Linked DNA regions of Canis lupus familiaris. The protein of the gene in region 6 interacts with the protein of the main gene of each other region in a pairwise test. Links are inferred from orthologs where the notes say so. Each region holds a gene or a part of one and is shown on either strand. Other genes may lie near its edges.

Region 1 (4,744 bases), on a different chromosome or scaffold from region 6:
TCCTTCCTACTTGCCATCCAGTCAGAGGTGCAGAGGACTCTGCACCTGCCTAGTGTTGTTGCCACCTATGACTGTCCTCCCAACGTTCCTTACCACCCAGAGTGAGCTCTATCCTTGGTTACTTTTGGTGATTATATCCTTGTCTGTGGCATTGGGACCCTCCCCGCTCTGAGTCTCCAGACCTGTTCTTTTCCAAGCTTCAGTTCTTTTCCAAGCGTTCAGGGAACGCTTATTTCAGGGCATTCACCTATCAAGGCATTGCCAGGGGTTTGGTGTGGGTGTTGTTCCAGCTCCAGGCTGGTTGGTATAGGGCTGCACAGATGAATGTGCACGCACACGCACCTGCCATGGAGAGCCATAGAGAGTCGGGGGGATTGGACACTGTTCGAATAGGTAATCTCTACTGTCTGGTGGAAAGCAATCTGCAACCCAGGTAGCACCATTAGGAAGTTCTTGGGTGCCTCAAAGTCCATTTTAAAGCCAAAAGCAAATTCCACATTGCCTCTCTGAGCTGACTTGGCTGCTTCTGTTAATAGCATCACTGTCTGAGTCTGGGACTGTAGCTTGGTACTTAAATGCCCTCACAGCTGCTTTACACATGATAGGTGTTCAATAAAGATGTGTGTAAGGAATACTTAAAGTCTGTTCTCTTCATCTGCTCAGTTCATGAGAAACCTACGCAGCTTGCTTTCTTTCTTTCTTTTTTTAAATATTTGTTTCATTATTTTAGAGAGCACAAGCAAGAGGGGCAGAGGGAGAGGGAAAGAGAATCTCAAGCAGGCTCTGTGCTGAGCATAGGGCCCCATGCGGGGTTTGGTCTCATGACCCTGAGATCATGACACAACCAAGAGTCAGAGGCTTAACCCACCACACGAGGCAGGGGTGTTCTATCCAGGCCGGTGCTCCCCACCCCCAACTTCATTCTCCCATACCACCTGGTGCCTCCCTGCATCCTGTTCTGATTGTGAAGGTTTGTTGAAGTGCTTACCTCCCTCCTGACAGGGAGCTTTGAGGCCCTATCTCTCCTGATCAAAGAGGACCCCTGGCAGGTGCCTGGCACAAAATAGACACTGGATAAATAATTATTAAATGAAGAAGCAATGAATCTTTGTATCTTACTGCCTGCCAAGTTGTAGGCACAGAGTGAAGGCTAGTTGAATAGAATGAGTGGACTTTAAGAGAATTTGATCTATATAAGCCACTGTGTCACTGGCCACAGTCAGGCCCCGTCTGATTAGAGTTGCTGTCGACCTGTGCGTCCTGTGTGTGGGGCTGTGACCTGGCGCATCTTCAGGCTGCCAGGCTTCCAGCCGAGGGGCTGAGATGGGAGGTCTCCGCAGGGTGCAGCTGACACACCGGGTGGTCTCTTCACCCACTTCTGAGCTTCCCTACTTGGGAAAAAGCCCCCTGAAATGGTGAGGGGCTGTGTTGGATCGCGCAAGGCCAAGGATCGCTGCGGGGGGGGGCGGGGGGCTGCCGCTGCGGGTATAGTGACCCTGTTGCAGGCGGCGGGCTCCCTCCGAGCTGCCACCCAGGTGTCGTCGGTCGCCGGCTCAGCCTCGCCTCCCCGTTCTGTCCGCAGGCCGCCCGGCGCCCCGAGGAGGCCGCTGAGCCCCGGGCCATGGTCCCGTCTCGCCGGCCGTGGAACCTGGGAGCCACGCCCTCGCTGCGCGGCCTGTGGAGAGTGGGCCGGGCCCGCGCGCCCGAGCCGGGGATGGCTCGCCCCGCCCCCGCCGGCCCGGCCGCCCGCCCTTTCCCATACACCGGCCCGGGGAGGTTGAGAACTGGTGAGTCCGCATTTTTAAAATGCCTCTTTATTTCCCTTCCTTCCTCCAGATAGCAGCGATGGGGCCGGGCTCTCTCGCAAGTTCCTAGGCTCGGTCAGGGCTGTCAGGTAATTACAGGGTGCCGGCAGCCCGCGGGCCGGCCGAGTGGGAGTCGGGGCGCCAATCTCGCCGGCGCTCCTGCCCGGCGCTCCTGCCCGGCGTCCTGCCCGGCGTCCTGCCCGGCGTCCTGCCCGGTGCTCCTGCCCCGCGACCTGCCCCGCGTCCTGCCCGGTGCTCCTGCCCCGCGACCTGCCCCGCGCTCCTGCCCCGCGTCCTGCCCGGTGCTCCTGCCCCGCGCTCCTGCCCCGCGCTCCTGCCCGGCGTCCTGCCCCGCGCTCCTGCCCGGCGTCCTGCCCCGCGACCTGCCCGGCGTCCTGCCCCGCGACCTGCCCGGCGTCCTGCCCCGCGCTCCTGCCCCGCGCTTCTGCCCCGAGTCCTGCCCCGCGACCTGCCCGGCGTCCCGCCCCGCGCTCCTGCCCGGCGTCCTGCCCCGCGCTCTTGCCCCGCGCTCCTGCCCCGCGCTCCTGCCCGGCGTCCTGCCCCGCGCTCTTGCCCCGCGCTCCTGCCCCGCGCTCCTGCCTGGCGTCCTGCCCCGCGCTCTTGCCCCGCGCTCCTGCCCCGCGCTCCTGCTGGTGGAGAGACGTCCCGGGCGCCGAGTTAGACCCCGGCGCGGCCGCCGAGCGGGGGGCGGGCGGGGGCGCGTCCTTGGTCCCCCGCCCAGCTCGCAGTCTCGCTCCGGTTTGTGCCCGCAGCTGGTAAACAAGGTAGGTGAAGTGGCTGCCCCGGTGCCCCGTGCGGCGCGGACACCTGATCGCGGCGGGTCAGACCGCTGGGGGCGCGAGGAGGAGCCGCGGCGCCGGCAGAGTGTGGGTGCCCTGAGCCGGGTTTCAGGTGCTATGTGGGGCGGCTCCCGCAGGGTGGCCCACAGCAGGTGGGGGCAGTGAAGGAGCCCACCTGGGATGCTGTCAACACCAGCTCTCCTTTCTGGGTCGCGTCCCCTGGTGCCTCACAGGCCAATAAGTGAGCGGCACCTCTGATTTGCCTGTGGGCTGGGTTGTCGTTGGGTCTGGGCAGTTGCCCCACGACTGCCTCCTGAGGTGAGCTTGGGCAAATCTATCTGGAAGTGTGGAGGGAGAGAGGGTCTTCAGTCCAGATGTCATCAGACGCTTGCTGTCTGTTGTTCCTGACCTAGAGAAAGAGGTTTAGATTACCAGCCTGTCTGAGCTAGCAGAGTTCCTCTGGCTATCAGATCCAAGCCCCCCTGGTACACAGAAGGGGAAACTGAGGCCTAGAAAGGGTACACAGCAGACTCCTGTTCCGTCTCCTCTCCCACCACATTTGTGCCACTGGTGGGCACCAGAGTGATACCCTCCAAAGTGTCTCTGCAGGGGACAGTGAGGCTGGGGATGGCACTGGGGGCCTCTGGGAAAAGCATAGGCTTTTGGGTCAGGTAGCCTGAGTCATCTGGAGGGGGATGAAGACGGTCTCTACTCCACATGGTTGTCCTAAGGATTACATATGTAATATGAATGAGTATTACTTTTCTGGTTAAACAAAAAAAACAAGACAAAGAAAAAAAAAACAAGCAGAAGACAAAATATGTTCCCTTGGAAAACTAGAAAAAATAAAAAAATAAAACCCAGAAAAGTATAAAAAAGAAAATAAAAATCACCTATAAGCTTGTTAGTGAACATCTTATGTAGTTCCTTCCGATCTTGTATATGTGGGCATGCATATTGGTCTATTAAATGAGTATCATGAAGATTATATGACCATACAGGCTTATCTGCTTTTAAAATTTAAGACAAAGGTCAAATGAAATCGTGTGAAATGCTAAGCAGAGTGCCTAACAGTGAGTAGGGCTTCAGCCAGCTTGTCACTCCTAGCCCCTCAGCCCCCACCCCGACTCTTGCCTCTGTCTTGGGAGGTATAGGCAGAGGGTGAGTTAGCCCATGGGATTGCAGGACTGGCTCAGTGTGACCCTGGGCACGGTTTTAACCCTCCCCGGTCGTGGTCCTAATGGCCTGCACTTATGGCCAGTTTCTGTGTGCCTGGTGGAGAGTGAGCATTTTAGGTGTGTCATTCCATGTAACCCTCAGCACAGTACTATGAGCTTGGTTCCTTATCCCCATGTTATTGATAAAGGAAACTGAGGAACAGGCAGGGCAGTAAGCACTTGGCCGGCTGCTGGCACTCAGGATACTGTCACACCCCCATGAGGCTGTACTCATTCCCATCCCATGCTACCCTGCAGGCTGTGGTGGGGGTTGAAGTGGGTGCATGGGATGTCCATACCATGATCACCTCTCTCCCCTGTCCAGTGAGGGAGGCAGTGGGTCAGAGGCTCGAGGGGATGCACTTTAGCTGGTGCTGAATATGCTTTTGGAGGCTGCTGGGACCAGGCCACCCAGCATGGCGTTGGTCTTTATGAAGTCAGGGGAGAAATTGCCACCTAGAGGCGGCCTTGGTAATAAAGCCACAGCCCTGGGGTGCTCCTCCTGTGAAGTTTAGTGCAGCCAGGTTGGCATCGGCTTCCCTTTGCTACTCTCTGGAGAGGGAGTTCATGAGCAAGTGTCAGCCCAAAAGCCACTGTGGAGGGTGGGGAACACATGTACCCCAGAAGCTTCCGGTGCCTTCCCAAAGGGAAGCTCGGGGTGGCTTTTGGGAAGAAGGGAGCACAGCTCCTGCCTGGTGCCAGGCCTTCCCTCCGAGTAGGTCAGGCATGTGAGGGCGTGTGAGTCCCTCCTGGCCGCGCCCGGGCTGGCCCAGCATGTGGGGAAGCGGAGCTTTGCCACGGCCCTAGTCAGTGGTCCTGGCCACCAGCCTTCAGCCAGGGGCCTAGCATCTTACCTGCATTCTCTGTCCTGGAACAGGGCGTGGAAAAGACACCCCGATCAGCAGTGACGAGGACTCCGGAG
Region 2 (4,915 bases), on a different chromosome or scaffold from region 6:
GCTCCACCCCTCGCGGCGCCTCCCCCCGCCCCCGCCCCCGCCCCCGCCGCCCGCCTCCAGCAAATGAGGGTCAAACCCACCCACCGCCGCGCCCGGCCCCTCCCCGGCCCCCGCCGAGCCCCGAGCGCCAGCCGAGGGGAGCGGGGAGGCGGCCCCCGCCCGAGCCACGTTCCCTCCCGAGCTCTGCCCTGGGAAGTGCAGCTGCAGTTCACAAGTTGGAAGGAGTTCGGTTTTCTGGAAGGGAGGGAGGGAGGGAGGGAGGGACCGGCGGAGGGGAGAGGGAGAGGGAGAGGGAGAGCGAGGTGGTGGGAGGGGAGGCAGGGGACGCGAGGGAGGGGGTGCGGTGTGTAAAGTTGCGAAACTGGTTTTTCGTATTTTAAACAGCACCTTTCACATGCCATTGTGGTGACCGCCATCTCCCATTATTGTTCCAAATCTCATTTCATTTTGAAGATCAATGAGTGTTTTCTCTGGGTTTTCAGGACACAGGCAAGAATAATAGATCATTGAACTTTAGGATGCCTGTTAACTTCCTATACAAACACTCTCCACTTTGGTCTCACTAATCTGCCCTTGATCAGCAATTTAAATGCTAAAGCTTTGTTCCTCCAAAGGGGGGGGAGTGTGTGTGTGTGGGGGGGGGGGGGGGGCGACGTTACAGATAATATGCGAGAAGGCACTATTAAGGGATGCACAAGTTATATTCGAGCCAGTCCTGCTGTCACCAAAAACTGCTTTTAAAAAAATTCCCCACTCTTTCTAATGAATGTCACGAGAAGCAACTGGGGTATAATATAGGAATCAATTTATAAAGCTTAGCCTAAACCGATTAATTTGTTGCCTCCAATCCTGAGTCCAATAAAGTCCTAGTGTTCCTCCAGTCACTTATTCTATAAAAAGATCAAGTTATTTACTGCCAATTAAGCAGCCTGTTTTGTCTTTGTCCTCTGTAAGCCGAGAGTGGAGGCTCCCCCCGAGGCTCCCGGCTATCTGCTCAAGACATTCAGCTGATACCTCAGAAGGGAGAGGGCGAACTTTGCCTGTCCCCGGCCCAACTTGGCTGCTGCAAAAAAAAAAAAAAAAAAAAAAAAAAAAAACAACCAGGGGAAGGGAACGAAACAAGGACTCGGGTTCCTTAAATAGGCCGATTTTAAACACATTTCCTCCGAAAGAGTCCCGGAACGTGTGTCCAGTGACCGCACAATAAACCAGAATAAGAACTGCACCAATTAAGCTGTAACAAAACCCTGAGACTTTGGAAACAGGACCACTCTAAAACCCATTAGCATTGCATTTATCCGAATGCATCATACCTTTATGTAAATTGATTTATCTGATGCATTTACTCGAGGAATTGCTTTTTGTTACAATTTCAGCCCTAACCCAAATGAATCTGCATTTCCTGCCCGAGGTCTTTAAACTGTTTCCCCCAACGTTTTAATCGCTCCGAATTCCTTTTTAAAAGGGGAGAGGGAGGGAGGAGATTCCAAGCTCTTCCCCGCCCCCATCTTTGGTGAGAGGTAAATATATATGTATATTTTTTTCGAAAAGGAAACATTACACTGAGAAAAGCATCCAGTAACCCCATTAGCTAAAGCTCTTAAGGACAAGCAATACCTTAATGCTGATTAAATCTAAAAGAGATGAATCAAGAGGACTGACCAGAAACTGACTCCCCTGATAACTAAGGACGGGCCCTCATCAAGTTTCATTTAGAGTTGGAAAAAAAAAAAAAAAAAAAAAAGAAAGCTTTTAAGTTAAATAGGCTTATACTCTAGTAATTACATAGCCAAGCAATTTAGGTCCTGGGATAGTCAGTGAAATAGAAAGCAGAACTGGCAGCTAGAGGCAAAATCTGCCCCCCTTTAACAACGTCTCTGGTGTTTTTTAATGGAGACCAGGGGAGGGACAAACGTAGCGCTGGCAATTTGTAGTACAAAAATGGATGCTTAATTCATGTCTTGATTTTAATTAGGTGATTCACCGGATTTCTCCTGGATTGGAACAAAAGACTTATAAGCCAAGAGGAATTTTTGAAAAGAACCAGCAATACTGAATCCTGCTCACTTAGATCCTTTCTGCCACTGTTTCAAAAATAGTGTTTACTGGGGGGCTGGGGGGGGGGGTCGTGACTATTTCCCCCACACTACTTCTCATACTTAAACCCTCATTTAAGCACCTCCGGCCTTTCCCTTAGGAACTGAAAATACCCCCCCACTACCACACACACACACACACACACACACACACACACGCACACACGCACACACACCCCTCCCCACCCTCCCAGGTCCCCAGCAGCCCCGTCTCCAAGAAGAACCCTTTTGTAAGCAGGAACCGCTACAAAGCTGGCGGCCCGGGGCCGGCTGCCCTCCGTGCTAGCTCGCAGGCCGGCCTCGGTAGTTTCAGACTCGCGCATTATCCAAGCCGACGTATTGTTTACTTGCAATTTGGGACGGTCAAGGGAAGGAAGCCAAAGAAAACAGCCCTGGCCCACATCGGCCCCCTCCTCCCTCTGCCCCCCCTCGCCCGCGGCTCCCCAGCCGTCCCCTTACCTGCTTTTCCCCTATATTGCAATACTGCGAGAGGCGGCGGCGGCGAAAAGCGAGCGAAGCCGCTCGGCTTCCAAGGAAGGGGCGCCTTGGCTGGCGGAGCTGGAGGGAGGGGGGATGTTCTCGCAGAAGCAGGAAAGGGGAGGAGGGGGCTAAGGGCTGCTTTTTTTTTTTTTTTTTTTTTTTTTTTTTAAACGCGTCGCCCTGAGGCTGGGTCGGGGGGCCCCGCCGTAAGCGGCAGGCGGCCGGGAGCTGGAGTGTCAGGCTGAGTCCTCCGCGTCGTCCTCCGCCTCCGCCTCCGGCTCCGGCTCCGCGCGAGCAGCTGCAGGAGCCCGCGGCCCGCGCGGCGCGGCTTCAGGCGCGGCGCAGCGGCAGCAACTGCTGCAATCGCTGCTGCAAGTTTGGCAATGTGGCTTCACTTTGTATATGCCCCCGCCCCCGCCCGCGCGCCTCCCGCTCCTCCTCCTCCTCCTCCTCCTCCGCCTTCCTCCCTCCCGCGCGCCCGCCCGCCCGCTCGCTCGCCCGCTCGCTCGCTCGGGGCCGGCGGCGGGCGCTCGGCCGCGCTTCCTGCCCCTCCAGCCGGGGAGCGGCCGCGGGCACCAGAGCCCCGGAGCGGCGGCGGCCGGCGCGGAGGCCGGGAGCCGGGGAGCTGCGGCCGGCCGGGCCCGGCGCGCTGGAGCCTGCGCCGCTGCCCGGGCTGCTGCTGCTGCGGCGGCCGCCCGGCTCGGAGGAGGCGGCGGCGGCGGCGGCGCTGGCCTCTAGCCGGCTCGCTCGCTCCCTGCGCGGCGCTTACACATGTGTTACTGACAGAGCCGAATCCCAACTACTCCCCGGCTCTGCCGCCGACGTCAGCGACCCTCAGCCACTGGGCGGCCGGGTTGTTCAGGCGGAATAATAAAACCTGCCAATCCGGGGCAGGACAAAGGGAGGACTGGAACGAGACTCCGCGGGCGGGGGAGCGGGGGAGGCGGCGGGCGGAGACGGCCCGGCCGGGGGCAGGTGGGCGGCCGAGCCCCGGGGACCCTCGCGGGACCCCCGGCGGGACCCCAACCCCCTCCCGCGGGGGGCAGGATGGAGCGGCCGGGGGCGCCGCTCCTGCCCGCGCCGGCGATCGCGGGGACCCGCACCCGCGCGCCCCTCGGGGACCCCCCCCCCGCGCGCCCGCGCGAGCCCCGCAGGAAACTTCTCGTCTTGCTCAAAAATGGGTCCCCTCCTGTTGGGGAGGAAGAGTCTCCCCGAAACCTCCGGGCGGGGGGCTTCGCTCGCACGCAGAAGAGGTTTTGTTTTTCTGCCTTTAATTCGCGGGCGTTGGAGACGGATGAGCCCTTAGTGGGAAGTTGAGCGAGCGAGGAGGTGGGGACCGAGTCCGCAGGTCTTGCAGGACTTGGCCGCCCGGCCCCGGTCCCCCGCGTGGGCCCGAGCGCCGGCCGAGAGCCCCGTGGGCGTCTCGTAGGGGATCGTCCGAAGTCGGAGCTGAAGAGCTCACAGCCCGGACTTTGGGGGTCCAGGGGAACTTCAGGGAGGAGGGCTCGGCCTCCATCCACCCCTGCTGTGCAGGAGGAGAGGCCCGATTCCTCAAGCCCCCCGTCCCCCCCCCCCTCCCCCCCCAGACAGCAACAAGGAATGGCAACATTCACCATCCCACAGCCTCTGGGGAGGAAGAAAGGTCACGTCTAGTATAAATTTAACTGTTGAGGAATGCTTTTAGGGTGCTGCTAGCCTGAGAGTCTTTTTCCAGGGCCCCGAGCTCAGCCTAGATGCTTGAGTACCTAGTCATTCAACTTTATCTGCTCTGCCAAATAGGTTTAATAAATCTCTGATCTGAGGCTAATATTAGGTCTGATTATTATTAGTAAGTTCCAGAGAGATTTTTCTGGTGGAAATTATCATGAAAGTGCAAAGCCCTTCTGCTAAGTATCATTAAGTTAAAACCAGCCTTGTGGGACGAGTTTTCATATTGTATTACATACAGTACTGCTGGATTGAGGTAAGGGACCTGCAGAAGAGTCTGGCTTAGACAATGTAGTTGTTAAACATCTATGGTTTTAGTGTCTGTTGGGGGGATTTCTGTCCTTCAAACCATCAAAATTAAGGCTGCAAAAGAAACAGTCATCATTGCCTGGAACATCAAGCAGAGGACATTTTAAACACCAATTAGAATAGTCATTTCTTTATATTCCTTGCACCTCAAAATTAAACGGCTTACTTTCATTGATTGGTGTTTAAAATTGCATTTTTATGATCAAGTCGCTTTGTGCACCTTATGAGAAACATTTACCGCCCCCCCCCCCCCCAAAATGACTTAAAGTATAATAGTAATTAAAATGCCCAGTACGGAAAACAGCTGCAGATGGGTATGATGA
Region 3 (4,125 bases), on a different chromosome or scaffold from region 6:
CAGGGAACCCAGCAAAGTAATCTGTAAGATACAGGTCGGCCTCGTTTCACCAAGCCTTCTGTGTGAGGCTTCCTTGCTTTGCCCTTGAAGAGAGAACGTTGAAGGTTGCCACTCTTGGTCGCCTCTCCCCTGGCAAATGTATTATAGACCTCTCTCTGCACTTCAGTGCTTCCTCTGGCCAGTCTCTGCAGAAAGATTCGGCCTTCTGACAAAGGGAGTGGATCACCTCTCCTGATGTTCCTCAAAGGGCGTTACACAGGATTTCCAGCCCTGCCCACCTCCTCTTGCAGGTGAAGAGTGACCCAAGTGTTTTCCTTCTGGAGAGTTTGTGCATTTAGCCGCCACTAGTGGGGGAGGCTGCAGAGAGAACCTTGCCCTGGGCCAGCCCCAGCCTTGCTGGGTAAGACTGCTCCTCCTCAGAAGCGGCTCTGCCCCAAGACTCAGGTTTCTGCAGCCTCTTTCTGTGCTGGGTGGTATGGATGCCATCTTCTGCCCATTTCATCTCTGTGGGCCTTGAGAAACCTGTGGGACTGGCCGGGCTCCTGCCAGGTGATTCTCCTCTTGCCCATCAAAAGCCAAACCAGGGGATCCCTGGGTGGCTCAGCAGTTTGGCGCCTGCCTTTGACCCAGGGCGCAATCAAGTCCCAGTATCAAGTCCTGCATCTGGCTCCTGGCATGGAGCCTGAAGTCTTTAAAAGAAAAAAAAGCCAGAGCAGGGATCTGCGGTTGGGGTGGGGGGAGGTTTAATGAGATGGGCTCTTGACCCCCCACAGTGCCTCTTAATAAAGTCATGGGGATTGGCCATCTATGAGCCTCCCTACAAAGGACCCTGTAGGAAGTTTGTGAGGCCAAATCCAAAAAATTCTACTCCTTCCTTTCTCTGAAAAGACCTACCCTTCCCAGGTCTCCCACTGAGGACCTAACCCCATGTTAAACTTAAACCAGTATTGAGCCCTTCCATTCCCCCTCAAAGCTTTGCCTAAATCCTCTTTGGATGATTCAGGAGCCAATTGAGGGGGAGTTTCATCCATGGTCTTCCCCATGGTTTCTCTGCCTTGACGTTTTACTGCCCCCGCTGCCAGCCATCCAGAGGGAGTCAGGAGAAAGCAAAACAAAAAACAAATTGGTCTCCATTTATCTTATTTGTGCTTGGCGCTGGTCAGAGGCTGGGTGGAGAAAGACAGCATGGCTGGAGTAGGGCTTCACGTGGCTCTGTGGGTCTTCTGTGCCCAGGCATCCACCCAGCATATGTGCCCACAGACTGGGATTGCCAGTGAGTAGGGTGGTGTCATAGGTGCCCTTCTGTTTCTCTTCCGCAGGACAAGATCCAGAAGCTTTATGAACGGAAGATAAAGGAAGGAATGGATATGAACTATATTATTCAAAGAAAGAAAGAATTTCGGAACCCCAGGTGAGTTTCCCATGAGTCTGCAGGGTCAGTTGAGTCACCAGTATTGGACTAGGGACTAGAATACCCCCCATGGAGGTGGCAGCTACAATGTAACCTGTGCCCAAAGGGGCCATCACCCCAACTACAGTGACACAGAAACCGGGATGAAGAGTGGAGGCCGTGAGGCCAGAGCTAGGATGGAAGAGGCCTGGCTGGGGTCTCCTCCTCACTCTGCCCCTCCCAAGGCCTCCATCTCATCTCTAGAGTGAGGGAATTGGACTAGGCAGTCCCTGAGGGTTCCTCTTTCCCCGCCAAACTGTCACTGATTCTGCGTGCAGGTGACAAGTTTTAGGAACAGTGCTGTGTCTGGGTCTTACTCCCTCCAGGGTCTGAGCAAGTGCCACACCTGTAAACAGTTTGGTCTGGTGGCATCAGGGCCCCGACCCAGCCACGCAGCCAGATGTGGGTCATATGTCAGATGTCTGGATAAGACCAAAAAACACCATACCAGTCCTGGCTCCTGGCTAACGATCCATCTTGCTGGAAGTGGCAAGGACTTGGAATGACTTAATGCCTGTGGACATTTCTCCTTTTATTAGGAAGCTTACTTGCAACAGTTTAGCTGGGTTTAAATGGTTCTTCTGAGCCTAAGAACTAGACGGTTCTGATCTCTCTCAGTCTGCTGCCACACAAGGCATGGTACTAGAGCCTGCACAGTGCCTTCTGGTATTGTTCTTTCAGCATCTACGAGAAGCTGATCCAGTTCTGTGCAATTGATGAGCTGGGCACCAACTATCCAAAGGTATGTCCTGCATGCAGAGGCTGAGGGCTGAGGGAGGATGCCCAGGGCCCTGTGTTCATTCTGCTGGATTCAGCCTGGAGCCACTGAAAGGCCCATGTAACAGTAGCACTGGCTGAAGAGCACAGCCCCCAGCTCTCTCATTTGAGTCCCTAATGCTCTGAAATAGTCCAGGAGAGAGATCGCAGCGACAGACCTGGCCCCAGGCCCCTGATTGGTTAGGACATGAGTGTGCATCACTGTGCTCCTAAAGCACAGCCCACAGAGAGGTATCACTTCCTCTGTGACTCCCAAGAGCAAATCGGCCACCCCCTTCGCTAGAGACCAGGGATAACAGCTGAGCCCTCATGCCCTTAAGGCAAGAGCCTCCAGGCCAGGAAAATCCATGGGAAGACTTGGGGAGAAGGGATGTGGGTTTCTAAGCCATTTGTCATTCAACGACCCTGGCTGGCTACAACATTAACTCTTACTTTTCCAGGATATGTTTGACCCCCACGGTTGGTCTGAGGACTCCTACTATGAGGCCTTAGGTAGGTGGCCCTTATCTGTCTCTCCTCCTGTCTGCTGTCAGCCAACAGGTATATCAGGGTCTCCTCTGTGTCAGGGCATTTCCAAGGGAGTGGGTATACGGTCTTGAATGAGATAGACCCACTGCGACTTAGGAGGCTTATGACCTGGCACAGAAGGCAGAGAAGGAATAGTCCTAGTAATGAGGGGTGTTGTGGTGGGGGGTGCAGGCTGGGCCAGCTAACCTGCGGAAGGAGGGGGACAGTCTTGCTGAGAAAGTCACGTTTGAGCTGAGGTTCGAAGGTGCCCAGAGGCCAGCCAGGCAGATGCAAAGAGTGTCCCAGGCAAGGGGACTGCATATTCTGAAGCCAGCGAGAAAGCATTTCCTCAGAGGTCCTCGTAGGGAGAACTGGGAGGAATTTCAAGGAGTCCAAGCTCTCCGATGGCAGACCTTAACCCAGCAGCCCACAGACCAGATCTGGCCTGTAGGTGTGTTTTGTTTGGCCCACACACATTTTATCTTGCTCTAACTTGAATCAGTTGCCAACGTTTTACCTCAAATCTGTAATCTCGGCTTCTCTTGGTCACTGGGCAGGTCATCCACACAGGGCCTGCATCCCCACATGGTGACAGCCAGTGCTCGGGAGCAACTGGCCCCTCCAAGACAAGGCCCCAGCGCCTGGGCCTTTCTGTGTGAGGCCTGTGCTCTCTGCTGGCCAGGGGCGGGCACTTCCGTTTGTCCATCACAAAAGGACAGTGAGCCCAGTGGCCCAGAGGCTAGCGCACACACTGAGCAAAAGCCCAGGGGAGGCAGCAAGTGCTGGTGTGGGGTCCCTCGGCTTCAGGTGGCCTTTCACGTGGGAGCTGTTCCGGGACTGCTTTTGTTAACATCTTCTCCTGTTTTTGTTAGCTAAAGCCCAGAAGATTGAAATGGACAAATTGGAAAAGGCCAAAAAGGAACGAACCAAAGTAAGTGATGGACTGATGTCCTAGGGGGAGGGGCAGGTATGTGGAGTGTCGTTCCTCGCCCCCCCACTTTCAGCTTGAAGGTGCCTCTCAGTTGCTTCCATTTGGTTTCCTGGGGTCTTGTGGTTTGCTGCACTCCCCCCTCCCTCTGCTGCCTGCTACAGCTGCGGAGCCCTGCTGGCTCTGGGCATGGTCATCAGTGTCCTCCCTGGCCTGATAGAGTAGTGGGTCTTCCTCCTGAGATCTGATCTGCACAGTCTGCCTCCATGCTTCCTTGTAGGTCCCATGCCTGGTGGCCAGCTGACCCCTTATTTTAGGGTCTGAATAGCACTTCTTCTCAAGCAGCGTGATTTACTTTTTTTAAAAAAGCTCTGCATTTTATTTTTTTTAAGATTTTATTTAATCATGAGAGACACAGAGAGAGAGAGAGAGAAGCACAGGCACAGGCAGAGGGAGAAGCAGG
Region 4 (3,070 bases), on a different chromosome or scaffold from region 6:
TCCGATTACGTATTCGTGCAGCCTTTGTAATCTGTGCCCACCTCTTAACCTCCCCTTGTATTGTTGCTCTCACTTCTTCAGATCTGTTTACTCTCTGATCTGTTTCATCTGCTGCTAAGCCCATTTATAGAGTTAATTTAAATTAAATGATTTTATGTATGTCTTTTATGTTCTTTGTCACATATGCTGAGTTTTTATTCTCCTTATTTTTGTCAGAAACTTATTTATGGGGAACCTGGGTAGCTCAGTGGCTGAGCATCTGTCTTCAGCTCAGGGAGTGACCCCAGGGTCCTGGGATTGAGTCCCACGTGGGCTCCCCGCAGGGAGCCTGCTTCTCCCTCTGCCTGTGTCTCTGCCTCTCTCTGTCTCTCATGAATAAATAAGTAAATAAATAATCTTTAAAAAAAAAAAAAGCAAGTAGACCTTGTAACACTGGAATATTATTCCATATAGCATTTCTAATTCTTATAGTAAATTTCTCTAGAATTTACGGCTCGGCATTCATATCATTTGATGTGCATTTGCCTGTCTCCCCTTAGAAGCCTATGGGACATCCTACTCCCCTCCCTCCCTCCCCTTCTCCCCTTTTCTGTTCTCCTCAGTGGTTTTCATAAAGATCAAAGCTTATGGCAATGTTTACCTCCTCTTTGGTTTTGAATACAACTGTTTTCCTACCATGGCTTTCACTGTCTTTAGTAAGTTTTATTTCACTCTTAGTTTTTTATTTTTTTTTTTATTTTTTTTTTTTATTTTTTTTTTTAATTTTTTTTATTTATTTATGATAGGCACACAGTGAGAGAGAGAGAGAGGCAGAGACACAGGCAGAGGGAGAAGCAGGCTCCATGCACCGGGAGCCCGACGTGGGATTTCGATCCCGGATCTCCAGGATCGCGCCCTGGGCCAAAGGCAGGCGCTAAACCGCTGCGCCACCCAGGGATCCCAACTCTTAGTTTTTTAAAGTGATAATATTGCACACCAGTCCATAAAGCTCTTTGGAAATAATGTGGTCCATATTATCAATAAGTTGCCCTTAAAAGTAGATGAAGGTAAGTAAACCGATTAACGTGGGGCCTACAGCCCATCTCGTCCTAATATGTAATGAAGCTCTCAGGATGGAGCCGCTCGCTTGAGGGGACACTATTCCATATGCTCTTTTATAGCAAGATTAACAGAAAAAAGGACATGGGACAGGTATGTAACAAAGAGAAATAAAAAGTGGATCTCGGGTGTACACGAGGAGAGTGTCATCACAAGGTGGTTTAGCTGAATCGAACACTCAAAAATAATTTTGATAAAACCACACTGTGGGTTTTTTTTTTTTTAATAGTCTTCTGATCATATTGTTCCCTTTCAAAGCTGCTTCCGTGTTTTTTGGTTAAAACACAATTTGATTGCTGTGAACATTCCTCCGTATACGAGATGTGTGCATCTTGGCTGACTGACTTGGACTTACGAACCGTGCGTGGGGTCCCACAGGATATTAAAGCCATGGAAGAAAGGAGTCTTCCCAAAGATCATGGACATGTTTTCATTGTAGGAAAAAAAAAAAGATAGAATTTTGTATTTGAAATGTCATCATTGGCTATAACACAACGGATTTTTGGAATTAGGTTATAATAAAACCTTAATTATCCAAAGTCCATTGAAATACTGAAACACACACACACACCCCCTAGCGTGATCAGATTTAAAGGCCCGCAAGAACGAGAATACCCAATCAGAATGTAGTAGGATGCTGACTGTATTTAAATAATGATCTTTCTTTTTCCTTCCGGAGGTGAAGATGACTTAATAGAATTTACCACAGTTACTTTAGAATCTCTGAAAGCGTTGCTGGCGGAGGCCTGGCCGGGGGGTAGATGGTGCATCTTACTTTCCGGCGTCTCCTCGAGCTGTGGAGGGGCAGCCGTGCAGGCCTGGTCGTGTTTGAAGACGTAGCCCGACCCAAAGAGTTCCTCCATTAGACTTCTTTTCTTATCCCTGAACGTGTCTTTGGCCTTTGTTCGGGAAGACTTGCCAAAGGAGGGCTCGTACCCGCTCACCGCGTGCTCTGGCCCAGGGCCCGCGCTCCCGTGCGGCTTGCCCGCGCTGAGACTGCCTCGCGGCCCGCCTGTGCCCGCCGGCCCGCCCAAGGCCGGGAGCCCGAGATGCAGGTTCTCGGTGGCTTCCGTGAAGGAGTAGTGCTTTCTCGGTCGCAAGGGCGCTTTGATACTGGCCGCAGCAGTTTTATCAGGCGTCTCATCCGTGTCATTTATCTGGAGGCTGCCTGTGAACTTCCCTTGGGCTGCGTCTTCCCGCTTGCCCTCCTTCTCGGGAGGACTTACTTCAGTCCTTGGTGGTGGCAGTTCCCATTCTTTCACCAAAGCGGGTCTCTTCTCTTGATCTTTCTTCTCTCTTGGTCTTCCAGTATTCTCCAGAGGTGGTTCTACTTCCAAACGTTCCTCTTCCTTCGATAAATCTGTATGCGGAAAATAGTCTATTTAGTGATCTTTAACATGAGCGGGCTCCTATATCAAGCGGGCCTGTTGAGCGCACTTACTGGCATCCGACAGGCACAGGGACGTGACAGAAAGACGTCCAGCAGATGCACACGACACTAAAATACAGGGAAGGGCGCTGTGAACCAGCTTGAGGACGGTCTGCTTCCCCAGAACATACCAAGTCGGTAAGGATTACGAAACCAAATCTAAAATGATACTCGTGAAAGAACTAACCTGTGCTGAGTAGTGAGGACGTTCGTCACTCCTGGGGGCCGGAGTGCCACGTAAAGCAATGAGAACCGTTTTCACCCATCCAAGCAGCAAATAATTTCCAGATTCAGTGAGAATATGGGGACAGTGGAATTTCTGTTCCCCATTGGGTGTGTCCATTGGTACAGCTGTTCTTGGATGGTAATTTGACTATCAAAAATTTTTTAACTTTTAAAAAACATTTTTTTTTAAAATGGTGGGGCTCGATCCCAGGACCCCAGGATCATGACCTGAGCCAAAGGCAGATGCTTCATCGGTGGAGTCACCCTGGCTCCCCTAACTGTTTTCTGGAGATTGTGCAGGTGTGACTGCATGAGGGG
Region 5 (3,555 bases), on a different chromosome or scaffold from region 6:
GGTGAGGCGGGAGCGGCACAGGGGCTCCAGTACCCTGTGGGCCTCAGTCAGGCTCTGGCTTTGCCTGCCACTGAGATGAGGAGCCAATGCCAGCTCCAGAGCCAAGGTGCCTCTGAGTTCCAGCTTCCTGTGAGGACCCAGGTTTCACATTCCATCTAGCCTTTAGCATCCACCTGTCCAGCCACCCTCCCAGCTTCTGTCTTCTCAAGGATGCAGGGCCCAAGCCCTGGCTCCCCCAACAGGCACTTGGGAAGGCCCGAGTAGATGATCTGGACCTTTCCAAGTAGTTCACATGGAATCCTCCTGTTTGTTGTCTTAATCGCTTTGGCTCCCAGAGTTAATCCCACTCTGCCCCTGCCTCCCTGAGCTTCTTAGAAGGGCAAAGGGGAAGGGTAGAAAGGCAGTGAGGACAGCTGGAGCTGGCCTGCTCTGGGGACAGCGTGTTTGTGAAGGATTTTCTGTCCTCTCAGGTCCCCTCTGGCTCTTCGCCTGTCTGTGCATGCATTCTCCACCCCAACCTGTGTTTGCATGGACTTTCCTCTCTGCCCTGCCACCTCCCCAAGCTGGGCCTTGCAGGGACTCAAGGGCCCTTCTCTCCTGTGTGTCAGGGTAGAGTCTTGTTTCCTCTGGGCCTCTCGGTAGGTCTCTTCTCCCCTCCCAGGCCCTAGCCCCAGTTTGTTGTGAGTCCACTCGGGCTCTAGGAGAAGAGTGAGGGGAGCAGGAGGGCACAGTATCCAGGCTGCTGGGTTTCCCAGGCACCCCAGGGGGCCTACGGTGCGGAAACCAATGTGCTTGTCTTTGCTTCTGCCTGGGACTGTGTCCAGTCAGCTATTTCCTGCCAGGTCAAACTTCCCTCCTCTCCGGGAAGCCTTCCTGATTGCCCTCAACGGTGCCTAAGGATTCAGCTCTGATTACAGGAGTATATTTTTTCATTTCTTTTTACCCTCCCACCACCCACAGTCTAAAGAGTAGGAACCCGAGTCCTGTATTGCTCCCCTCTGCCCAGGCAGTGCGGAGTCTGATGTTTTGGAAATGCTATGATAGAAGAGGGAAAATCTGGAATTGGAGGGCCTGTATCAGAAGGAAAACCGGCCCCGCGGCCCCGGGTGGATGCTCCGCTCCGGCTTCCCTCCGCCTTGCACGCGTTCCCCTGGGCGGGCGCCTCCCGGGCTGAACTTCGGCCTCCCCCTTCTCTCCCACCCTAGCTCAAGATCTCCTTCAGCGAGACAGCACTGGAGACCACGTACCAGTACCCCTCGGAGAGCTCGGTGCTGGAGGACTTGGGCCCGGATCCTGAGGCTCCCGGTGCCCCCAGCCCCCCGGCGGCCCAGCCTGACGACGACGACGACGACGACGACGACGACGACGAGGAGCTGCTGCTGCTGCAGCGGGAGCTCCGGGGCGGCCTGCGCACCAAGGCCCTGATCGTGGGTGAGCGGAGGCTCCGCCGGTCCGAGGGCGCCCCCTGGCGTCCAGGGCGGACACTGCGCCCTGGGAGGGAAGGGGCGGCGTGAGTCTGGGCAGGCAGGACCTCCAGCAGGACCTCCGGGCGCACCGCTCTCCTTCACAGATGGGGAAGTGGAAGTGCATGCACAAGGGGTCTCCAGATTTCAGAACCAGGACCCCTTCTGAGCACTCTCGTGTGCTTAAAAACACCGGGTTTGGGTCAGACAGGCCTGCATTTGATTTCCGTCTTGTTTCTTACATGGGGTGTAACCTCCAGGAAATCACCTGACCTCTGGCCTCAGTTTATTAATTATGACATGGGGTTAATAATAACCACCGCCTGGGGTTTACTGAGAAGGTTCAGTAATGTTTACGAGGCACCCTGTAACTATGGCTGGCCATCAAATTACTTAATCTCCTCTGGTGCTACTATGTGATTAAACAGGTTGTAAGAATGCCTGGCACAGGATGCGAGCTAGGTGAACAATGACTGCTGGTACTGTAGGAGCAGGTGCTGGGCATGGAAAACACTGACTTGCTCAGTGTAGAGAGTAAGTGGGGACGGTGGATGGCAGAGGCCCTCACTCACTCTGTAACCATTACTGCCTCCTCTCCCACAGATGAGTCCTGCCGGAGGTGACCCTCCTTCAACAGAGGGTCTGTCTATACCCCCCTTTTCCAGAATTGAAGATCCTGGAGCCCAGAAGATTGAGAACAGAGAGACCCTGAAAATGAGCTTGGCAGTGAGGGGCAACCAACATCTTCCAACCTTCTTTCCTCATCCTGTTTATGGGAGCAGAGCTAGTCACCCAATTTCCACCCTCACCAAAGATCCCTGGTGTGAGTGTGTCAGACATGCTGGTGGCATCCTAGGTGAATTAAGAATGAGCATCACGTCCTGGGGAGGATCACAGGGCTCACTGGGGCTGGGGTGTAGCACCTCCTCCATCTCCACACTCTCCCTTCAGCCTTCCTTGACTCCCCACCACCCCGTGGGGGCTCTGAGGATTTAAGCACTCATCCTGGACAGCCTGCCCCATTCCATTTACAGGCCCCTCTCCTTCGTATTCCTTAGGGCATTGCCCCCTTGCTTATACCTCCTGCCTCCTCCCCTGACCACCAGCCTGGTTTACAAATCCCATTAGCTCCCAGCCCCACCTGCCGAAGTCCCAGGTTTACAAGCACACCTAACTGTTGAGTCCATATGGAACCCCCCCGCCCGCCCTTTGTCTCTTTGGGGGTGTGGCTTCCTCCACTTTTGCTCAGTATTACTGTACCTCAGTTGTCCTCAAGAAGGAGAGCTGGGGATTTTAACCCTGTACCCCCACCTCATTATTTAATTCTGTTCCTTCCAGTGGTTCACAATTTAATTGAATTGCAAGTGGGTGTGGGGTGACTAACAAGGCCCCTCAACCCTTCTCCCCCATTTCTCCTTCCTTATCAACTGCCTGTTTGTTTTTTAAGTTTTCCATAATAAAACGGAGATCTCTCCAACTCTCCTGCTGCTTTTCCTTCTTTAGAAAAAGGTATGGGGTGGGGGAGGCTCTGTGTTCCTCATTCCAAGCCGCTCCCATCTTCCTATTGGCCATGAAGAGGTAGTGGCCACAGCTGCGGCGGTGGGGTGATGGAGATGAAACAGGAACTCAGCATTGACATGAAGAAAGGGCTCTGGGAGAGCCCTGTAGCTGTTGCTTGAAGGAGTGGCAGGAAAAGGACCAGTTTAAGGAAGGACAGAAAGAATCCACTAAACTGGAAGTGCCATTGGGAAGCCTGGGTGGCTCAGCGGTTGAGGGTCTGCCTTCGGCTCAGGTCGTGTGATCCCGGGGTCCTGGAATTGAATCCCACATCAGGCTCCCTGCATGGAGCCTGCTTCTCCCTCTACTTGTGTCTCTGCCTCTCTCTGTGTCTCTCATGAATAAATAAAATCTTTAAAAAAATAAACTGGAAGTGCCACAAGGGCAGACTGTAGTTGGGTTTAATGAAGCATCCCCATACCTCACAAAATTATCCCTAGCACACTTGCAAAATTATTACTAGAATGACTGAACAAACATGAATAGATGAAAAGAGCTAAAATATTGGAAACAGGACATTCTGAGTTGAAGAACT
Region 6 (3,254 bases):
TCAGAAGCGGAGGGAACGCACATCAAGTGCTTAGCATCTGGCATGTGGCATCTATTCAATAAATGGTGGTTGCTGTGACTACTGCTTATTTTTGTTCTGTGTGATAGCACTGTCACCTGATAGCTGTCCAAGGATCAAGCTCCTACAGGCAGACCTTGGCAGAAAAGCAAGCGAATCCTCCCTGCCTCCATCCCACCAACCCCCTCCAAAAACACAGCAGGGTATACCTGAAGCCACTTGGGGAAGAAGTGTTTCTCAAGCAGCCCCACAAGGCTGGACACGGAGATCATTCCTTCCCAGTCGATGACCCAGTAAAAAGCATCCATGTGCTGCTGGTGGGGATTAATGACTAACTCCCCAAGACACATCCCTGCAAAAGAAGCCTGGTTTCTAAAGCAAAGGCACAGAAGCACATAGCAAAATCCTCATCAGATGACGCAGGACTAAACCTTATATCTGTTAATTTTAAACTCTTGACATGGCAATTCTTAAAAACCACTTTCTATAATCCAGAAATAACTAATACATATTTAAAAACAAATAGCACAGAAATTTCAGAACATTAATGCCTAGCATGTTACCAGAAACCCAAACCAGACCAGGAACCAAGAAGCTGGCGGAGTCTGAGGCTGTTGATGCCATAGGGACCCTGGGTATGTTTATATTCCACCTCTAAGCAATATGGCACTTCTTGGATTGAGAAATATCCTGTGTTCAGATTTTTCATGGAGCCCCAGGGCCATGTTTTAAGAAACATGGATCCTCACCGATGGCCACAGAAACCAGGGCAATACCCTCTTCTCTATTCCCTTACCTAGTTTGGGCACTATGTTCTTGACCATGAATGCTTCCCAGGAGCCAGGGGTGAAGACATCTTTCCAAGGCTGGAGGATGAGCTTGGCAGAGGAGTCGCTGGGGTGCCACTTCTGCAGGGCACTGGAAAGCTTGCTGCGGATGGGGGAATAGAGTGGTTCCAGGCGTGCTTGCATAAGGGGCAGCCACGGGTGGACCCAGGAGTGGATGGGCACGGTGTCTGTCAGTGGGTTCCAGTTTTCCACCTGCAGGAGGCGTGGGACAAACCAGTTCCAGATGCACTGTGCAGTCGACAGCATGGATGCCTAGCACTCTCCTGGCCAAGGCCCACGGGCCTCTGCACAACCAAACTAGTATCCCCACAGCAGCTGCATGGAATCTCCGAAACGAAGAAACCAAGAAAATAACTTCCCCATTTAAGTAGGGAAACTGGGGGAAATGCCAACAAAAGGGCTGGAATTACCCACAGGACGGTAACCATGTCAGCCGATTCTCATTCCACGCCTTCTGACAGCACTGGGGGAGCAGAGAAATGCCCGTTACTGCTGCCAGCTGTTCCCATGACCTGGGGGCCCTACCTCTTTCTGCAGTTTAGGGAAGATGAGCTGGTCCAGAATGTTATCTAAGATCCACACAGGAATAATGTGCACCCAACTATCCAAAAAGTCCACCATCGGGTCACAGTTCCTTGGCTGCCACTGGGTGACGATATTTCGAACAAAAGGCATCCAGACTTCCCATATCAGCCTGTGGGAGAAAGGCAGAGGGCAGGCTAACTGCACAGACAGGTTTCAAAGCAGACAGTACACTGCCACCCACTCTCCAGAACGAGAAAGAAAAAGGCACGGAAATGCAAGCACAGCAAACCACCAGGCCAGTCCCCAGTGCCCAGAGCTGCACCTAACTCGTCCCTGCTTGCCCAGCCACCTGCTTGACCTCAGGGCGTGGGTCTCACTGCCTGGCAGGGTTGCTGTGGGCTCCCGTCCCCAGGGATGCCTTGCTTTCCTTTGGGAGCTCTCTGCACAGCTTGACAGCTCACCTCGTGGGTCACCTCCTTTCATAGACCTCTGCTTCATACTACTCCCACCACCCAAACAGGTGTGCATCCCCTCTCTCCTCCATCCCTGGCCTCGTCCGTCCGCTTCCTTACCCTCCACCTGCCTCTTCCACTCTCTGAAGCCCGACACTGTCAGCCTTACTCCCAGGGCAAGCCTGGCATGTGCACAACACTGGCCGACACATGACAGGCGCAGGGTGGGAAGGCCAGTCCCTGCCTTCCCCGGCATCTCTCTCCTGAGCCCCAGGCTGAGTACCTGTGAAAGGCGTCTGCCGAGAGGTCCTGCCCGCCGTGGGATAAGAGCTGGTCGTTCTCTAGGAGGGTCTTCCACCTGGAGATGACCTGGGTGCCGTAAGCGCAGTCCTGGGGAGAGACCTGGCCGTGATGCGGCACCGTGGGCCAGCACCCACCACCCTGTCACACCTGCAGGGCAGGAGCACAGCGGCTCCTCTCACTAGCCACTCACCTTCAGCGGGTCCCACTCCTTGAAGTACTCCTTCATGAGTGGGTAGACAATGGCCACAGCCAGGTCCACGCGGTCAGACATCCTGTACTCCTCGTAGTACTTGTCTTGCAGGGTCTCAAAGATGCGGGCACACTCATCCAGGGTGAGGGGGTTGCTGCAGGAGGGCTGCAGGCGCCGCTCACATTCCTCCACCATCTCCAGGACCTTGCTAAGGTTGGCAATGACCCGCTCCTCATGCTCCAGGACCTCTGACATCTTCTCCAGCTCGTGCGACAGGTTGACCACCATGTCCCGTTCATACTGCAGCTGCCGGTCACTCTGGATGATCTCCTGCTCTGTGAGGTCAATGAGCAGCTGCAGGTTGTGCTCCAGCTCAGGCAGGGCGAAGCCCGGCGCCTTGGCCTCTTTGCCAGGCTGCGGTGGCTGCTGGGACGGCAGTGGCAGCCCATCATCAGGGACATTGTGCTTGTGGCTGATCTGGCTGTAGCTGTAGTAGACCTTCTGCTCCCGGCCAGTCATGTCGATGACCTGGGAGAAAGTGGCGGGGGAGCCCGAGTCAGTGTGTGCCATCGCTGCCCCGTGACAGCACGCCTTGGACCGAAGGAGGACAGAGTGCCGGCGCACACAAGTGACGCTGTGTCAGAGCCAGGGGGTGGGGGGTTACTGCAGGGGGGCCCCACTGCACTGACAGGAGGGTGGACAGTCAGCAGTTCCAGACTGCTCCCTGGAGATAGAGATGGACAAAGCTTTCTAGGAAAACCCGTGAAACTGGAGTACAGACTACTAAACTGAGGAGAAAATCATTCTGTGGCAGAGTAGAGGCTGCACTGGTGGAAGCCAGTAATAAAGCAGTGTATGTCTTCAAACCATCACATTTTGGTATTAAAAAAGGCATATTTGGGATCCCTGGGTGGCGCA
Region 7 (4,125 bases), on a different chromosome or scaffold from region 6:
AAAGGCCCCGCCCCCAGACATAGCCCCACCCCCTCTCGGAAAAGGCCCCGCCCCCCAGCCATAGCACCACCCCTCTCCAGGAAAGGCCCCGCCCCCAGCCATAGCCCCACCCCTCTCCAGGAAAGGCCCCGCCCCCAGACATAGCCCCACCCCCTCTCGGAAAAGGCCCCGCCCCCCAGCCATAGCCCCACCCTCTCCCGGAAAGGCCCCGCCCCCAGCCATAGCCCCACTCCTCTCCCGGAAAAGCCCCGCCCCCGGGCAGCCCCACCCCTCCATACTGTCAGCGCACGCGGCACCGCTGCCCGCCGCGCCGGCCAACCCGAATGCGGAACCAGCTTCGCACCCGTTGCGCGCTCACCTTACAAGTGTAGACAAGCTGGTAATGTGCGGCCCCGGGCGCCGGCTCCGAGCTGAAGCACCGCCAGCCCCAGAGCCCCGCCCCGGCCCGCCTTCTCCCCGCGGCCTCCGGGCCGCCCCTGCGTCCCCACAGCCACCTCAGGGCGGGTTCCCGGGGGCGCACGCGGCTCAGTAGCGGCGGCACGCGGCTCAGCGCAGCCCGCAGCATCCCGCCCTCCGACCTCGGCCGCGCCGCCCCGCCCCGCGCCGCCGAAGCCGCCCCGCCGCCATCTTGGAAGCGGGCACGGAACGTAATCGGCCCTTTCCGGCTGCGGTCCGCCGACTGGCCGGCTGTGTTCTGCTGCCCCCTGGAGGCGGGAGGTGCGCGCGCGGCCGGGGGTGCACATGGGAGCGAAGTCAGCGGAGGCGGCGGTGGCGGGACCGCGGTGGTTTATTATGCATTTCTGACACTGCTGCCCGCGTCCGCCCCGCGCACACCGAGCACGCCCGCCGGCGCGCCAGGGCCGGCTAGGAGCCCTCGGTGTCCGTGTTGTCGCTGCCCGTGGTGTTCTCCCAGTCCACCTCGCCCTGCCTCGAGCAGTGCTGCATCTTCCGGAGGGCGCGCTTCCTGCAGGGGCGAGCGCGTGTCCGCGGGGCCGCCCACCCCGGACAGCCCGCCCCCTGCCCCGCCCGCCCGGCCCGGGGCCGCACCTGCGGTAGTTCTCGAAGCTCTCCTTGAGGCGTCTCCGCTCCTTCTCTGGGGGCTCCCCGCCGCTCAGGCCTGCGCCCTGGGGGAGGAGCGAGGCTCAGGCTCCGGGGGGCGGAGGGCGGACCCGGACCCACAGCCGGCTCCTAGGGTGCCCTGAGCGCAGCGCCCCCGCACGGAGGACTGGCCTTCCGCCGCTGCCCCGCCCTGGCCCCACTCTGCAGGCAGCTCCGTGCAACAAGGGGCACTAGGCTCCTTGTTCCAAACAATGCCCCCCAGGAGCCAATGGCAGAGACCCTTGCCTTCATCCCCAGGCATCCAGGCTGCACAGACCCCCTTCCTGGGCTCAGTCACCCCGAGGCCTGTGTCAGGGGTGCCTAGGGCAGTGGGGACCCCAGGGAAGCCTTACGTTGGTGGTCAGTGGAAGCTGCTCCTCCTGCAGGGCCACAAACGATTGCTGTGGGCTGTCCTTGTTGGCCAGGCCTCCTAGAATGGAGAGTTGGGCCTGTGAGTCCTCCCCAGCTGCAGGGACCACACTTAGCATGGCCAACCCTGGCCACCGCCCCTCCCCTGAAGCTGGGGCCAGTCCTGCAACATCCCCTGGGTCCTTACTTGAACCCTAAAAGGGGACTGGGGTCAGGGACTCCCCCTAGGCAGCCAGAGGCTGCCAGAAGCCCACCAGGCACTGCCCCACCATCCAACTCAGCTCCTGGGTGGGGGCTGGGGCCCTGCAGCAGTTGGCAGCAGAACGTTCCAAGCTGCCAGCTCCCTAGAATTTGCCAGAGCCTGGACAGGCCCAGGGCTCAGGGCCCTCAGACAGAAGGTGCTCTGATGGGTTGGCTCCCCTAAGCTGGCCAAGAGAGGGGCTGGACATCCAGTCTCCACTGACATCATAGGGGGCTAGCACCTTCCCTTCCTCAGCCTCCGACCCTGAAGCCTGCCCCAATTCCTTCAAGGGGCCATGCCACCCCTGGGTTGGGGCTCCCAGGGCCTTCCCCTACCACTCATTGCCTGAGGGGTCCTGCCTGCTTGTCCCCACGTTGGGGCTCTGTAGCCTGAAGCTCAGCCCCCTGCCTCTGCACTGGCTGTTCCTCTTTTGCTTCCTTTGGAGGCTGGCAGCAGGCCTGACACAGAGGAGGACTGTCTGGCTTTCCATGCCACCTTCAGAATGAGCCCTTCGATCCCTTGTCACCCCTCAGCACCCCCCAGGCCATGTTCCTGCCACCTCTGTGCCTGGCCCTGAGACAGCCCTGCTTTCCCCTCGTTGTACCTCCGACACTGTTGGACTTCCCCTGCCCCCTGCCCAAGAGGAAGCTCAGGGAGAGCAGGATGCCTCAGCCCTGTATTCCTGAGCCCAGGGTGGGCTCTCAGCATCAGAGCTGGGGCACAGGCCCCACACACCTAGCTTGTTTGTTCATTGGGGAGCCTGAGGGCTCCTTGTCTCTCTCCAAGCCTCAATGTCCCCATCTGTAAAGTGGGGTTGTGAGAGATCCATGGGACAGGGCTATGCCCAGTCCAAGTACAGGAACAAGGAGGCCTCGGCTATCTCGTCCCTGAAAAGCTGCTCTGCTCCTCACCTTTGTCCGAGAGCTGGACGGCTTCCAGGTCCAGGGGGAGCGAGAGCTTCCGGGAGAGAAACGGGCATCAACGACCTGGCAGGAAGTCCTTGCTCCAAGGACCAGGAGGCGGGCCAGCTGGGGCCCAGCTCCCAAAGGGGACTGGGGGGACAGTGGTCTGGCAGAGACTGTGGCCTGGAGCCCACCCTGGGGGGCGTACTCACCTCCTGAGAGTTCCTGGGTGAGCTGTCATCCAGGTCAGAGCTCTGTGGTCACAGAGAGGAGTCAGTCAGCAAACAGGAAACCCAGCCACCCCCAGGGTCGGCATAAGGTGGGGCACAGCGAGGGGTCCCAGGCCAGAACACCCCTCCCTCCTCCTCATGACACCCAAAGTGGCCTGCCAGGCCCTGAGATGTGCCACACCCCCAGGCTCCCCAGAAGGAGAGGGGGGCCTGGGAAAGGCTTGGGACCTGCCCAGGCCCCCCCGTGGAGCAATCTCCAAGCCAGGCCTGGCCCTGGGCTGACCAGCGTCCCTGCCTCTGGGCTCTGGTGTCTCGGGGACACGCTGGCATCTGAGGGCCTATCCTGTGTTCTACTGTGGCTGCATCTCTGACCAGCGGGCGCTACAAAGGCCCACAGCCCTTGGGAGGCCCACCAGCACGAGCATGTCCAGCTGCTGCCGCTTGAGCCTGCCCTCCAGAGCTAGCAGCTGGCCCTCGCGCTGGAACAGTTGCAGCTGCAGCTCGTCTGCCTTCTCTGCCAGCTCCCGGACCTGCTTCCGCAACGTGTCCTTCTCCTGCAGGCTCCGCGAGTGCTGTGCATGCAGCTCCTCCCGTGTGGCAATGGCCTGTGTGGACAGGATGGCTCAGGGTGGGCTGGGTGGTTGCTGGAGACCCCCAGGACCACCCCCGCCTCTCAGCACAACAGTTGAGAGCTTCCTGCAGGGAGTCTGCTTCTCCCTCTGCCTGTGTAGTGCTTGAGGGTTTGTGTAGTAATAACAGCTTCCAATGGGAGGTGGAGATGAAACCTCCAGCTCTGATCTCCGAGCCCTCCACCCCACCGCACATCCAGCCCGTGCTTCTACCCTCCACGGCACTTAGCGGTGGGATCAGGAATATGGCTGTTGGCAGCTGTGTTACATCCTTCATCACGGCTGTCCCTCTGGGGGACACGGCACACTGACCAGAGCACACCTGACGCAGCTCTGACCCATAGCCGGAGTCAGCCAGCTGCCTACGTGCCCAGGCCTGGAGCAGGGTGGCAGCTGCAAGCAGCCGGCCCCTGCCTGGAGGCCAACCCAGCCCTAGAGCCCTCGGCCCTCAATGGCCAGAACTTGAGGAATCACTGAGAATTGCCTTCCTTTCCTGTTGCCCACCAGGGACACCCGAAGAGAAGCCTACCCGTTCACCTGGGCTGCTGGGCCCCAGCATCCCTGGCTGGCAGCCTGCCTTTGGTGGCACAGCACCCTCCCTTCTTCTGCCTCCCCCAGGGAAGGTGGGAGCACTGCTTCCCTGCTCTTCCCTGCCT

Evidence for each region.
Region 1: the proteins of TFIP11 (region 6) and KIFC3 interact in binary tests that used the Homo sapiens proteins (3 or more experiments, as listed by UniProt). The link is inferred for Canis lupus familiaris from reciprocal best matches to the Homo sapiens genes TFIP11 and KIFC3.
Region 2: the proteins of TFIP11 (region 6) and LMO4 interact in binary tests that used the Homo sapiens proteins (3 or more experiments, as listed by UniProt). The two-hybrid records come from large-scale screens. The link is inferred for Canis lupus familiaris from reciprocal best matches to the Homo sapiens genes TFIP11 and LMO4.
Region 3: the proteins of TFIP11 (region 6) and SAP30BP interact in binary tests that used the Homo sapiens proteins (3 or more experiments, as listed by UniProt). The two-hybrid records come from large-scale screens. The link is inferred for Canis lupus familiaris from reciprocal best matches to the Homo sapiens genes TFIP11 and SAP30BP.
Region 4: the proteins of TFIP11 (region 6) and LCA5L interact in binary tests that used the Homo sapiens proteins (3 or more experiments, as listed by UniProt). The two-hybrid records come from large-scale screens. The link is inferred for Canis lupus familiaris from reciprocal best matches to the Homo sapiens genes TFIP11 and LCA5L.
Region 5: the proteins of TFIP11 (region 6) and PPP1R18 interact in binary tests that used the Homo sapiens proteins (3 or more experiments, as listed by UniProt). The link is inferred for Canis lupus familiaris from reciprocal best matches to the Homo sapiens genes TFIP11 and PPP1R18.
Region 7: the proteins of TFIP11 (region 6) and CARD9 interact in binary tests that used the Homo sapiens proteins (3 or more experiments, as listed by UniProt). The two-hybrid records come from large-scale screens. The link is inferred for Canis lupus familiaris from reciprocal best matches to the Homo sapiens genes TFIP11 and CARD9.

The regions. Positions count from the first base shown.
Region 1 is NC_049223.1:57,969,314-57,974,057, forward strand, and holds the start of KIFC3 (kinesin-like protein KIFC3), read left to right. Parts: upstream 1-1,606; 5' UTR 1,607-1,621; coding exon 1,622-1,787; intron 1,788-1,836; exon of another isoform or gene 1,837-1,894; intron 1,895-2,471; exon of another isoform or gene 2,472-2,590; intron 2,591-4,699; coding exon 4,700-4,744. UniProt on the Homo sapiens protein: Minus-end microtubule-dependent motor protein. Involved in apically targeted transport. Required for zonula adherens maintenance.
Region 2 is NC_049227.1:61,435,613-61,440,527, forward strand, and holds the start of LMO4 (LIM domain transcription factor LMO4), read right to left. Parts: upstream 3,100-4,915; 5' UTR 2,556-3,099; intron 480-2,555; exon of another isoform or gene 388-479; intron 33-387; exon of another isoform or gene 1-32. UniProt on the Homo sapiens protein: Transcription cofactor. Plays a role in establishing motor neuron identity, in concert with MNX1, acting, at least in part, to disrupt LDB1-LHX3 complexes thereby negatively modulating interneuron genes in motor neurons.
Region 3 is NC_049230.1:5,750,917-5,755,041, reverse strand, and holds part of SAP30BP (SAP30-binding protein), read left to right. Parts: intron 1-1,319; coding exon 1,320-1,411; intron 1,412-2,131; coding exon 2,132-2,192; intron 2,193-2,667; coding exon 2,668-2,719; intron 2,720-3,606; coding exon 3,607-3,665; intron 3,666-4,125. UniProt on the Homo sapiens protein: Plays a role in transcriptional repression by promoting histone deacetylase activity, leading to deacetylation of histone H3.
Region 4 is NC_049252.1:34,041,542-34,044,611, forward strand, and holds the end of LCA5L (lebercilin-like protein), read right to left. Parts: intron 2,459-3,070; coding exon 1,746-2,458; 3' UTR 851-1,745; downstream 1-850.
Region 5 is NC_049233.1:619,264-622,818, reverse strand, and holds the end of PPP1R18 (phostensin), read left to right. Parts: intron 1-1,205; coding exon 1,206-1,431; intron 1,432-2,066; coding exon of another isoform or gene 2,067-2,086; exon of another isoform or gene 2,087-2,128; coding exon 2,129-2,175; 3' UTR 2,176-2,945; downstream 2,946-3,555.
Region 6 is NC_049247.1:20,585,504-20,588,757, forward strand, and holds part of TFIP11 (tuftelin-interacting protein 11), read right to left. Parts: intron 2,865-3,254; coding exon 2,337-2,864; intron 2,234-2,336; coding exon 2,127-2,233; intron 1,561-2,126; coding exon 1,392-1,560; intron 1,059-1,391; coding exon 815-1,058; intron 371-814; coding exon 228-370; intron 1-227. UniProt on the Homo sapiens protein: Involved in pre-mRNA splicing, specifically in spliceosome disassembly during late-stage splicing events. Intron turnover seems to proceed through reactions in two lariat-intron associated complexes termed Intron Large (IL) and Intron Small (IS).
Region 7 is NC_049230.1:49,116,328-49,120,452, reverse strand, and holds the end of CARD9 (caspase recruitment domain-containing protein 9), read right to left. Parts: intron 3,446-4,125; coding exon 3,254-3,445; intron 2,865-3,253; coding exon 2,823-2,864; intron 2,666-2,822; coding exon 2,620-2,665; intron 1,529-2,619; coding exon 1,452-1,528; intron 1,125-1,451; coding exon 1,048-1,124; intron 965-1,047; coding exon 865-964; 3' UTR 769-864; downstream 1-768. Other genes in the region: DNLZ (DNL-type zinc finger protein), read right to left, coding at 359-565. UniProt on the Homo sapiens protein: Adapter protein that plays a key role in innate immune response against fungi by forming signaling complexes downstream of C-type lectin receptors.